3 linked regions of the Callithrix jacchus genome follow. The protein of the gene in region 1 purifies or fractionates together with the protein of each later gene. This does not show direct contact. Links are inferred from orthologs where the notes say so. Each region holds a gene or a part of one and is shown in the gene's direction. Other genes may lie near its edges.

Evidence for each region.
Region 2: the proteins of ZNF830 (region 1) and PPIL2 purify together in Homo sapiens (co-immunoprecipitation; 4 studies listed by BioGRID and IntAct, counting the BioPlex papers as one, with this or other methods). This does not show direct contact. The link is inferred for Callithrix jacchus from reciprocal best matches to the Homo sapiens genes ZNF830 and PPIL2.
Region 3: the proteins of ZNF830 (region 1) and PPIE purify together in Homo sapiens (affinity purification with mass spectrometry; 3 studies listed by BioGRID and IntAct, counting the BioPlex papers as one, with this or other methods). This does not show direct contact. The link is inferred for Callithrix jacchus from reciprocal best matches to the Homo sapiens genes ZNF830 and PPIE.

Annotation. Positions count from the first base shown.
Region 1 is NC_133506.1:99,202,491-99,206,233, reverse strand, and holds ZNF830 (zinc finger protein 830), read left to right. Parts: upstream 1-1,580; 5' UTR 1,581-1,607; coding exon 1,608-2,723; 3' UTR 2,724-3,222; downstream 3,223-3,743.
Region 2 is NC_133502.1:193,655,576-193,659,183, forward strand, and holds part of PPIL2 (RING-type E3 ubiquitin-protein ligase PPIL2), read left to right. Parts: intron 1-1,128; coding exon 1,129-1,204; intron 1,205-1,548; coding exon 1,549-1,655; intron 1,656-2,377; coding exon 2,378-2,467; intron 2,468-2,793; coding exon 2,794-2,827; intron 2,828-3,412; coding exon 3,413-3,530; intron 3,531-3,608. UniProt on the Homo sapiens protein: Has a ubiquitin-protein ligase activity acting as an E3 ubiquitin protein ligase or as an ubiquitin-ubiquitin ligase promoting elongation of ubiquitin chains on substrates.
Region 3 is NC_133508.1:76,298,842-76,302,449, forward strand, and holds part of PPIE (peptidyl-prolyl cis-trans isomerase E), read left to right. Parts: intron 1-1,469; coding exon 1,470-1,593; intron 1,594-3,608. UniProt on the Homo sapiens protein: Involved in pre-mRNA splicing as component of the spliceosome. Combines RNA-binding and PPIase activities.

The DNA of each region.
Region 1 (3,743 bases):
CATTTATTAGATCACCAAGTTCTATCAATTCTACTACCTAAATATCTCTTGACTCTGCCCCCTTCTATCTCCATTGTCATCATCTCTACCCTGGATGACATCCAGATATCTCCAAACTTGAATATACCCTCCTATATCCTCCACACATTTTTCTTTCTAAAAGGCAATGTGATTCAGTCAGTTCCCTGATCAAAAGTCCTCCAATGATTTTTATGTTTTCCAACATTTTCAAGTTAAAATCCAAACATAGCAATGGCATACTTGACCTTTCCCAATCTGGTTTATGTCTGTCTTCCCTGCCTCATCTGCTTTCTTACGAGCAAATCTTCTAGTTCCCTTAATACACCGTGTTTTGTTTTGTTACTGTTGGATTTGCATCCTTGGTCTCTCTTATTCCTGAAATTACCCTCTGCCCAGAAGGCCTTTACTCCCTCTTCCAACTAGTGAACTCTTATTCTTCTTTCAAGACTCTGATAAAACATTGTTAGTTAAGAAGCTTTTCCTTCTGCCATCAGTAATTAGTCCCTTTCCTCAGCATAATCATATGCATCTGTATGTAATTAGCACATCCGACTCTACATCTCTACCACACCTTTTTTAGGACAGAAACTGTATCTTGATCATTTCTGCGTCCCAGTAGCTAGTACCTAAGTGACTTCTTCTACCATTAATATTAATTTATTTTGTTCATTACTATGACAGTGTGTCTCTCCACTTATACCCTTTTGCCCTCACTGGTTTCTTTTCCTCACTCTTGTCTAGAGAAAATGGTGCTTAATATATATTGAAAAGATAAATAGATATGAAGAACCATAGGCACGGGAACTTGGATTTGATCCCATGCCACCTTCCTGGCTCTAAACCCTGTGCCCTCTCCACTGCAATACATTACCATACAAAAAAACAAAAATAACTACCTGTTGAATGTATGGGCTAAGGGCATGCAGTTTTAAAGAGCAGAGGAGTTAAATGCTTTATATTTTCAATGAGACACTAAATTAACTGACTTTCTAACTGCATGTGAACCTTGAGGAAAAGTGGGGGGTCAGGGGGTGTCATAGCTTCACCCCTTGGACCTTCTATTAAGGGAGGCTTTATTCCTCCACCCGCACCAGATGAGAGATACCCTCAGGTCAGGGATGAGAATGAGGGAAACCAAGCTCGCAAGAACATCCACATCGCTCCGTGGACGCCTGCCTCAGAGGGCGCCAGGACACCCAACAAGCCCCCAGCCGCCTAACGGCCGCTCCAACCGCCGTCTCACATTTTCATGGTGCCTTTAGGACCCAAGTTGGTCCTCAGCACATGCTGCAGCCCTCGGGCGGCGCATATATTGACGGCCAAGGCAGCCTGTGCCCGCGCCACCTCAGCCTTGGAGTTTACGGCCTTTATCGCAGCCATAGCCTAATCGCTCAGGGCGAAAACAACACACGCACACGCACACGCACACACATGACTTAGTGGCGATTCTAAGCAAAAACCCGAACGCCACGCCACGCCACGCCACGCTCACTTGAGCCTCGGCCAATCACCGCCCTTAAAAAAAAAGTGACGTTATCATACCTCGCCGGACGGAAGCCGGACTCGCTTTGGGTCTGGTCGCCAAGATGGCGTTCTCCGCCTCCGCTGGGACTCCGGCTGGGAAGCGAGTGGTAAATCAGGAAGAACTGCGGCGGTTAATGAAGGAGAAGCAGCGTCTGAGCACTAATCGGAAACGGATAGAATCTCCGTTCGCTAAGTACAACCGTTTGGGACAGCTGAGTTGTGTCCTGTGTAACACGCCTGTTAAGAGTGAGCTTCTGTGGCAGACTCACGTCCTGGGAAAGCAGCACCGAGAGAAAGTGGCCGAGCTGAAAGGCGCGAAGGAAACCAGCCAGGGTCCGTCAGCCAGCTCAGCGCCTCAGTCCGTCAAGAGGAAAGCGCCAGACGCAGACGGCCAAGATGCCAAGAGAACGAAGGCCACCTTGGTGCCTCAGGTACAGCCCTCCACATCTGCGTTGCCCACCAACTTTGACAAAATAGGAAAGGAGTCCATTAGAGCGACTCCCAGTAAGCCTTCAGGACTCAGTTTACTCCCCGATTATGAAGATGAGGAGGAGGAGGAAGAGGAAGAAGGAGGTGGAGAAAGAAAAAGCGGGGACGCCAGCAAGTTGCTGTCCGACGCACAGGGCAAGGAACACTCAGTTTCCTCTTCGCGGGAGGTAACAAGTAGTGTGCTGCCGGACGATTTCTTTAATAATAATCCTCCCAAGGCCCCCATAATTCCTCATTCAGGGTCAATTGAGAAAGCAGAAATCCATGAAAAGGTGGTGGAAAGGAGAGAAAACACCGCGGAAGCGTTACCGGAAGGTTTTTTTGACGACCCTGAGGTAGATGCAAGAGTACGAAAGGTTGATGCCCCTAAAGATCAGATGGACAAAGAGTGGGACGAATTTCAAAAAGCCATGAGGCAGGTCAACACTATTTCCGAAGCCATAGTTGCCGAAGAGGATGAGGAGGGACGGCTGGACCGTCAGATTGGGGAGATCGATGAGCAGATAGAGTGTTACCGACGGGTGGAAAAGCTACGGAATCGCCAGGATGAAATAAAAAATAAACTTAAAGAAATCCTGACCATAAAAGAATTGCAGAAAAAGGAAGAAGAGAATGCTGACAGCGATGATGAGGGGGAACTACAGGACTTGTTGTCTCAGGATTGGAGGGTGAAAGGGGCATTGTTATAAAGTTTTAAAGACCTAAGGTTTCTAACAGCCTCTGCTATTGTATAAAAAGTGCTGTCTCAATAGCTTATCGGTTACACGCCTAGAGATTTGGGCACCTGGATCGCTAACTGTATTGTTGAGATAAAATGAGCTACAGCACTTTGGTAAATTTGTATACAATGTTTTTGAAGTAAAGTTTTTGAAATTTCTTAAGTGTTATATACCAAAATGCCAACTTTTCCACAATAGGCCTAACAGTATCATTTTGTTGTAAAATCTGTAAATTGTAAATATTGTACGTAGTTAAATCTATATTAAGTAATTCCGTTTTGAATTTTTTTAATTAATAGAAGTCAGATTAACCGGCAGACTTTTAGATGAATGCTTAATGTGGTATTTGAGATGTATCTTCTTCTGAACCCTAAATCAAGTTGAAAAGTTTGGTTTTCTTGTTTCTTTGGTTTTTGTTTGTTTTTTTTAGAACACTTCATAAATACATAAGTCATTGTAGGTTAATCAATTCTCTTAGTATGCTGGGTTTTTTTTTTAAACATCGAGAAAAATATATGCCAAACATGATCAGCCTCCCTAAACCAAAGTTTCTCTTGACTAGACCCGTGATGGTCAGATGTGGTTGCACGGAGAATCACCTATGAGGCATTAAAATAAATTCAAGAGCTTGAGGCCTTCCCCTTCAAAAAATCAGAGATGGGGCCCAGGCAACTGTTTTTTAAAGCTCCCAGGTTATTCTAATATATGCCAAAGTTGGAGGGTGCCCTAAATCCAGAACCCATTTATATTTTTCAGGTTTTTATTTAACACATTCCATAAATTTGCTGTTTCTTGAATGAAGGAAATATTATCTTTTATTTATTTCATCCAGTCTTAAATTTCATTATCTTTAGTAGATTAGGGTCTTTATTTGCAGGTCCTATCTGTTGTAGAAAGAATATGTAAGTTGTGTTTCCAGCAGTAACAATTGGCTCTTGCTGGTCATTGATAGTTTAAAGGACTCCTTCCTTTAGAGATTGAGGTATTGAA
Region 2 (3,608 bases), on another chromosome or scaffold:
GAATTCCAGCTTCACCTGAGATCCTCCTGCCTGGGCCTCCCAAAGCGCTGGGATTATAGATGTGAGCCACTGTGCCTGGCTTATATTTTCTTCTGATGAAAGAAACCCCTTTTTCTTCCTCTGTGATAAAAAAACAACATTTATTGGGACTTTACCCCCCCACCCCTGATTAAATATGTAATGTGTTTACTTCAGAAAGTTTGAGACTTTTAAAAAGAAGTTAGGCCAGGCCGGGTACAAGCTCATGCTTGTAATCCTAGCACTTTGGGAGGCCGAGGTGGGTGGGTCACCTGAGGTTGGGAGTTTTAAGACCAGCCTGACCAACATGGAGAAACCCTGTCCCTACGGAAAATACAAAATTAGCAGGGCGTGGTGGCACATGTCTGTAATCCCAGCTACTCTGGAGGCTGAGGCAGGAGAGTCGCTTAAACCTGGGAGGCAGAGGTTGCTGTGAGCAGAGATGGCACCATTGCACTCTAGCCTGGGCAACAAGAGTGAAACTCCGTCTCAAAAATTAATAAGTTAATAAATAAGTAAAGAAGTGAGTCCAGGCATGGTGGCTCAGGCCTGCAATCCCAGTATTTTGGGAGGCTGATGCAGGAGGATTGCTTGAGGCCAGGAGTTCGAGACTAGCTTGGACAACATAGTGAGACCTTACCTCTACAAAAAACCCCCAAAAATCAGCCAGGCATGGTGGCACACACCTGTCGTCCCAGTTACTCAGGAGGCTGAGGTGTAGGGGGGGGGTCACTTGAGCCCAGGATTTGGAGGCTGCAGTGCGCCAGGATCACACCCCAGCACTACAGCCTGGGTACACAGCAAGACATTATCTCATAAAAAAAAGAAATGAGAACTCACTCATACACTCCTAACCCTGAGGTCCTGTGTGGTATTTTATCTACAGGGTTTTACTTAACGTCCTGAGTCGGGACCCGGTTGAGGCCAGGGGCCCCTGGCTCGGCCTGTCCTCCTTCCTCCCGCCAGTCAGGGAGGCCCTGCTGGAGGAGAAGCACTGAGCAGGGCCTGGGGGTCAGGGGTGGGGTGTGGTTGGCTTCTAGGCAGGCACCACATTTTTGCCCATCAGCCTCCCATGGCACTGCTGAGGTGCCACCCTGGTTTCCTTGGCAGGCCCACTATTCCACAGGGAAGGTCAGCGCTTCCTTTACCTCCACTGCAATGGTTCCAGAGACCACACACGAAGCAGGTAACCACCTTTGCCTCTGCAGACACCTGCCATGTGACCTGACAGTGGCAGGGGGTGGGTGCCCTCCCCTGATTCCCACTCTTTTGGCCTGTCAGGGGCTCCCATGGACACCTGAGTCTCCAGTCCTCCCCCTCTTAGCTGCTGAGCCCCTGTCAGGCCCATGAGGCTGGGGTGAGCCTGTGCATGGCCCGAGCAGAAGACTTTGGCCTCTGGCTCCCGTGCTCTTTCCAGAGCTGGAACCTAGTCCTTGGCCAGATGCCTCTGTGTCTTTGGCCCGTGTTACCTGGCACCGTGGGGCGCCCCCAGGGCGAGGGCAGGGGCTGAGCTGGGACCTCTGCTTGTAGCTGCCATTGACGAGGACGTGCTCCGCTACCAGTTTGTGAGGAAGAAGGGCTATGTGCGGTTGCACACCAACAGGGGCGATCTCAACCTGGAGCTGCACTGTGACCTGGTGGGTGTGGTGGCCCGCTCCCTCCCCGTGTCCCGAGGTCATTTCTGGGGTCATTTGACAGCCATGTCTTCAATATAGGGCTGCCACTGGTATGTGCTTGTAAAAAAAACTCAGCCTGTCACTAGGCGGGACCCACAGCGGTGCCCTGTGTCCTTCCTAGGGGGCTGTGTTGCCCTGTGCACAGGTGCCAGTGTCCCAGAGAAGGGACCAGGCCACACCCGCTGCTCTGCCTGCACTTCTCCCGTGCGCTCTGCTCTGGGCCATGCGGCTGCGCAGGTTCTGCTGCTTGGTGTTGTGGGTCCATCCTTGCCCGGTGTGGCTGGGCAGCTGACTGCTGGATGTTAAAGGCGTCCTGGCTGGGCACGGTGGCTCATGCCTGTAATCCCAGCACTTTAGGAGGTCAACGTATGTGGATCACTTGAGCTTAGGAGTTCGAGACTAGTCTGGCCAACATGGTAAAAGCCTGTCTACTAAAAATGCAAAAATTAACTAGGCCTGGTGGCGCAAGCCTGTAGTCCTGGCTAGAGTGGGAGGCTGAGGCAGGAGAATCACATGAACCTGGGAGGTAGAAGTTGCAGTGAGCCGAGATCACACTACTGCACTCCAGCCTGGTGACAAAGCAAGACTCCCTCTCAAAAAAAAAAAAAAAGGGCCTCCTGTGGCTGTGGTGAGCTGCCTTTGGCCGCTCTCTGCTTCATACATGCATCGGGACTATGTTGCAGACACCAAAAACCTGCGAAAACTTCATCAGGCTTTGCAAAAAGCATTATTACGATGGCACCATCTTCCACAGATCCATCCGGAACTTCGTGGTGAGTGACGCGAGTCACTGGCTGCACAGATGTGCTTGGTGGGACATCAGGGTCTGGGTAGGCTTGTCCCTGCCCTGACCCAGGGCCCTGAGACCACAGTGTGGTCAGTCGGTGATCCTCTGTTGGGGAATGCACAGGCTGTCTCTCCAGACTCCAGCCCATCCAGAACTGGGTTCATACAGGGAGGTGGCTGGGAGGGCCCCTCGTCCTTGTCAGGAGCCCAGGCCCTGTGAGGAGCCATCTGGCAGGAGGGATCTCCTTTGGTTGGGCAGGTGGTGGGCTTAGGTCTCGAGGTGTGACTTGCACATTGGTTTTTGTTCTCACAGATCCAAGGGGGTGACCCCACAGGCACAGGCACAGGTAGGTACTGGTGCTGGGCCCCTCTTTGGGCACGTTGGCTGCTCCTTGGGGCATGAGGGGGTAGCTGGGCTGTGGAATCCGCTAGACCAGGGTGGAACGACTGGCAGCCATCAGTGTTGTGCCCTCTCAGGACTGGCTCTTGGCTTTCTCATTTCCGGGTGGCTGTGAGGCCTGCATAGTAGAGGATGCAGGCATGTGTGGCATCCTCTCTGGGCCCCTGGAGGCCAGGCCTTCCACCTGCAGCCTCTTGAAGCTCCTCAGCCTGCAGCTGCTTGGGCCCAGGCCCTCCCATCTCCGTACTCCCATAGCTCGAGTGATGAGGATGGTGGCCTTGACCCTTTAATCCCTGTCCTGGGGCAGGACCCACTCACCTGGGGTGAGTGGGCAGCAGCCTGCCTGTGTGGAGGCATGGGGGCTCCAAGGGGCCCAGGAGTTGGTGATGTGGGGCTGGGGACCACCTTATCAAGTGCCTATGCCCCAGGTTGGGCTCAGCAAGGCCCTGATGCCCCTTGGGACTCTGAGGTTTCTGGTTCTGCCTTGGCTGGGGCCCAGGCCTTCCTGTTCCTGTGGGTCTTTCTCTTCCAGGCGGGGAGTCGTACTGGGGGAAGCCCTTCAAAGATGAGTTCCGGCCCAACCTCTCGCACACGGGCCGTGGCATCCTCAGCATGGCCAACTCAGGACCCAACAGCAACAAGTCTCAATTGTGAGTTGGCCGGGCTGACTGGGGCTGACTGGGGCTGACTGGGGTGGCCGGGGAGGTGACCTGGTGCTCCCTGCGGGT
Region 3 (3,608 bases), on another chromosome or scaffold:
GTAGAGATGGGGTTTCACCATGTTGACCAGGATGGTCTTGATCTCTTGACCTCGTGATCCACCTGCCTCAGCCTCCCAAAGTGCTGGGATTACAGGCGTGAGCCACCGCGCCCGGCCTTTTTTAAGTTTAATGGAAATTTGCAAATACACATACCAAAGTGGAGGGAATGAATAATGAATTCTTAGGACTTTGGTAAAGTCAGTATTGAGTGAATGCAAGGGCAAAGCTTTGGGTCTCTCATCCACATTGTGTTCTCTGTGATGAACATCTCAGCTCTGCTCATGTATGGATTTGTGATTATCAGCTGATGGGGAGAAAGCTGAGGTGCCCCTCTTCATCCTTTCTGATCAGTCCCCCTCCTTCACTGAGGAGTTTGGCACGAGGTTCATGGTCTTCTTATTCCTGTGCTAATGCAGGGGTGAAAGGATAGGGTAGTGCCACCTTCCTTCACCCTGTACATGGGTTCACAGTGCTCTAGTCCTAAGAGAACCTGCCAGGGCACTTCCCCCTGATTCTCAGCATAGGTCTCTGACAGTTGCTTCTTGGACTTCCCCTCCTCCGGGTACCTTGTGAGTGTTGTCATTCTTCTGTATTTCTTTGTTGGCTCATGGTTTCGCTCTTTTCTCTCAGCTGAAACAGTAGCAGTCAGTCTGTAATTTTATGCAGCCTCTCTTATGCTGTTGACCTTCATGTTCTGTTTCTAGTCCTGAGCTTCAGATATTTCTGCCTGCAAGTCTCATAGGCAGCCTAAGTTTGCCTAAAATGGATCCCCTCCTTCTCTAATCCTGTCTTCTGTGATCTCAGTCTTGGCTAATTTGCTACCATTCATCCACACATTGGCCCAAGCCAAAAATTTGGATGGAAAGCAGAACTCATAACGTGGCCATCGCACTCGAGTCCCCCTGGATCACCCTGTATCCGCTGCTTAGTCTTATCTACTTGGAGCACAAAGCAAGGCCCAGCATCCTCCACTGTCTTCTGAGCACTTAGATCTGAGCAAGAGGGCTGCCCCCTTGCTTCCGTGTAGCCAGCCAGCATATGTGCAGGGCCAAGCATAGAGGGAGGAGGTGGTGGGACATGGTCTGCCTAACTAGAGGACAGTGTGTGGGCTGGAACTGCCATTTGAAGATGTTGACAGTTGTGTATCATAGGCCAGAAAAGCACTGTTCTGTGACTGTAAAGCAAGAGGAGGAAACCGATGCTTCTGAGGGCAAGCCTGATGAGATAACATGCCTGTGTATGGGGCTCAGGTTAGCCAGTACTGAGGTCTCCTGTTGCTGGGCATCCAGCTGGGCGCTACGGCTGTGGCTCCTGCCTCCTGCAGCCCTGTCAAGGCCAAGGCCTTCCCTGTCAGCACTTGCTCCAGCCTGCTCATTGGAGCTGTGTTCTGGGTGGGTGTATAGAATACTAAGCTCCTACTTGGGGCATCAGGGAGCTCTCTCTAACTAGCAATTTCTTCTGCACCTAGGGAGAGCCTGCTGCTAAAAAGGCCCGGTCAAATCCTCAGGTGTACATGGACATTAAGATTGGGAACAAGCCGGCCGGCCGCATCCAGATGCTCCTGCGTTCCGACGTTGTGCCCATGACAGCAGGTGAGCGGGACGCTGGTGGCTGAGCAGTGAGCCTTTCCCAGGTGCTTGCCACTTTACTTCTTGTGCCCTCAATATTGCTTCTGACCTAAGTTGATTTGAAGCATCTCAGATCCTGGGATCTAGTAACAGATGAGTCAGAACAGGTGTTTTTGAAGCTTTATAAGTGCTGACTTACTACCTTTTAATAATCATTTTTTAAAAATACAAGTAAATATTATATTCTTTTTTAAAAAAAAGAATACCATACACATATATTCCAATAATAATTAAGACAATAAACTGAAAACTTAAGTTGTTTTTCCCCCTCAACATCCAGTCCTAAATTCTAGAAGTAGCTAGTGCTTTTACTGAGTATTCTTTGTAACTTATTAAATATTGACTCTATTTATTCTCTTTTTAATCTAAATTTTATTATTATCTAGACATATAAAGAGTCAATTCAACTTCACAAAGCTTGTTTTGGAAAAACAGTCGTCCCCTGGTGTGTCCCTATGCCCTGCTGCCAGCGCCATTTGCTGTTCCTCCGAGGAGCCGATTTCAACTCTTAGGTCTTTTGATTTTTATTTCCGTGTTGATAGATAACAGGTTTATATTTCTACTTGCTGTTTTCCGTTTTAAGCATTATCTTCTGATTTTCTACTTCAGAGGACGAGGAATTAGTTTTTAAAATTCCCCTTCTCTGGCCCCTCATCTTCCTTGTATAGGTACTATAATTTTTGTTAGGTCCTAAATTATTTTAACAATGTAGACACCATGTGATAACTTCCTTTCATGCACAGCATTTTGTTTTGCCTGGAATTGATAATTGCCTTGTTTGTGCAGTTTTCGATGTAATCAATCCTGATTTTCTCCCAGATTATCCTGCTGGGGCCTTTGCATCCAGGTGTCTGCATCTTGTTAGGCAGAGATGAGGGCAGGGCTGAATGCCACAACATTCGGTATATCAACTTTCATGTAATCTCCACTTGTCGTTATATACCTCAGCCCTCACTACATGTAGGATATCCTAGTGCAAAGAGCCCCTGCTTTAACCTACCAAAGACTAGACCCCCAGCTGGCTACCAGGTGGAGGAGGGTGGCCCCCAGCTGCAGAGTCAGGGAGAGGAGCCCAAGGATTAACCACTTTCTTATACAGGCTTTCAGCCAAACTTACTATCTCCAGGATTACCTGCACCTGTTTCTCTGAGATTTTGGAGTGCAAACTGAGTTGCTTCTTGGCTTTTACCAGCTTAAGATTCAGCTTTCTTGGGACTGCTTTATCATTTAGGGCTCATCTATTTGTTTTCTAACTTCAGAAATTTTTGTTGCTATTGTCTCTTCCTCCCCGCTTTTTAAGTTTTAAAGTGTACAGTTTGTTAGCATTAATTATGTTCACACTATCACTGTTTGAAATTTTTTAATCACCCTAAACAAAGCCTCTTATTTTATTCTTTGAGATGGAGTCTCACTCTGTTACCCAGGCTGGAGTGCAATGGCACGATCTCAGCTCACTGCAGCCTCTACCTCCCAGGTTCAAGCGATTCTCCTGCCTCAGCCTCCTGAGTAGGTGGGATTACAGGCATACACCACCATGCCTGGCTAATTTTTGTCTTTTTAGTAGAGACGGGGTTTCACCATGTTTGTCAGGCTGGTCTCAAACTCCTGACTTGTGATCTGCTTCCTTGGCCTCCCAAAGTGCTGGGATTACAGGCATTAGCCACGGTGCCCAGCCCAAAACCTCTTATTATTAGAGGTACCTATTAAACAATAACTCCCCATTTTCATCTCCCCTTAGCTTCTGATAACCTCTAATCTTTGTGTCTATGAATTGGCCTATCCTAGATTTTCCAAATAAGTGGAATCATACAATAGTTATCCTTTTTCATGTCTTATTTTGCATAACATAATGGTTTCAAGGTTCATCCATTACCATTTATCAGTGCTGCATACCTTTTTATCGCTGAATAATAATTCTGTTATATTTGGAATAAATATCTTGTTTACTCATTTATTGATTGATACTTGCACATTGTTTT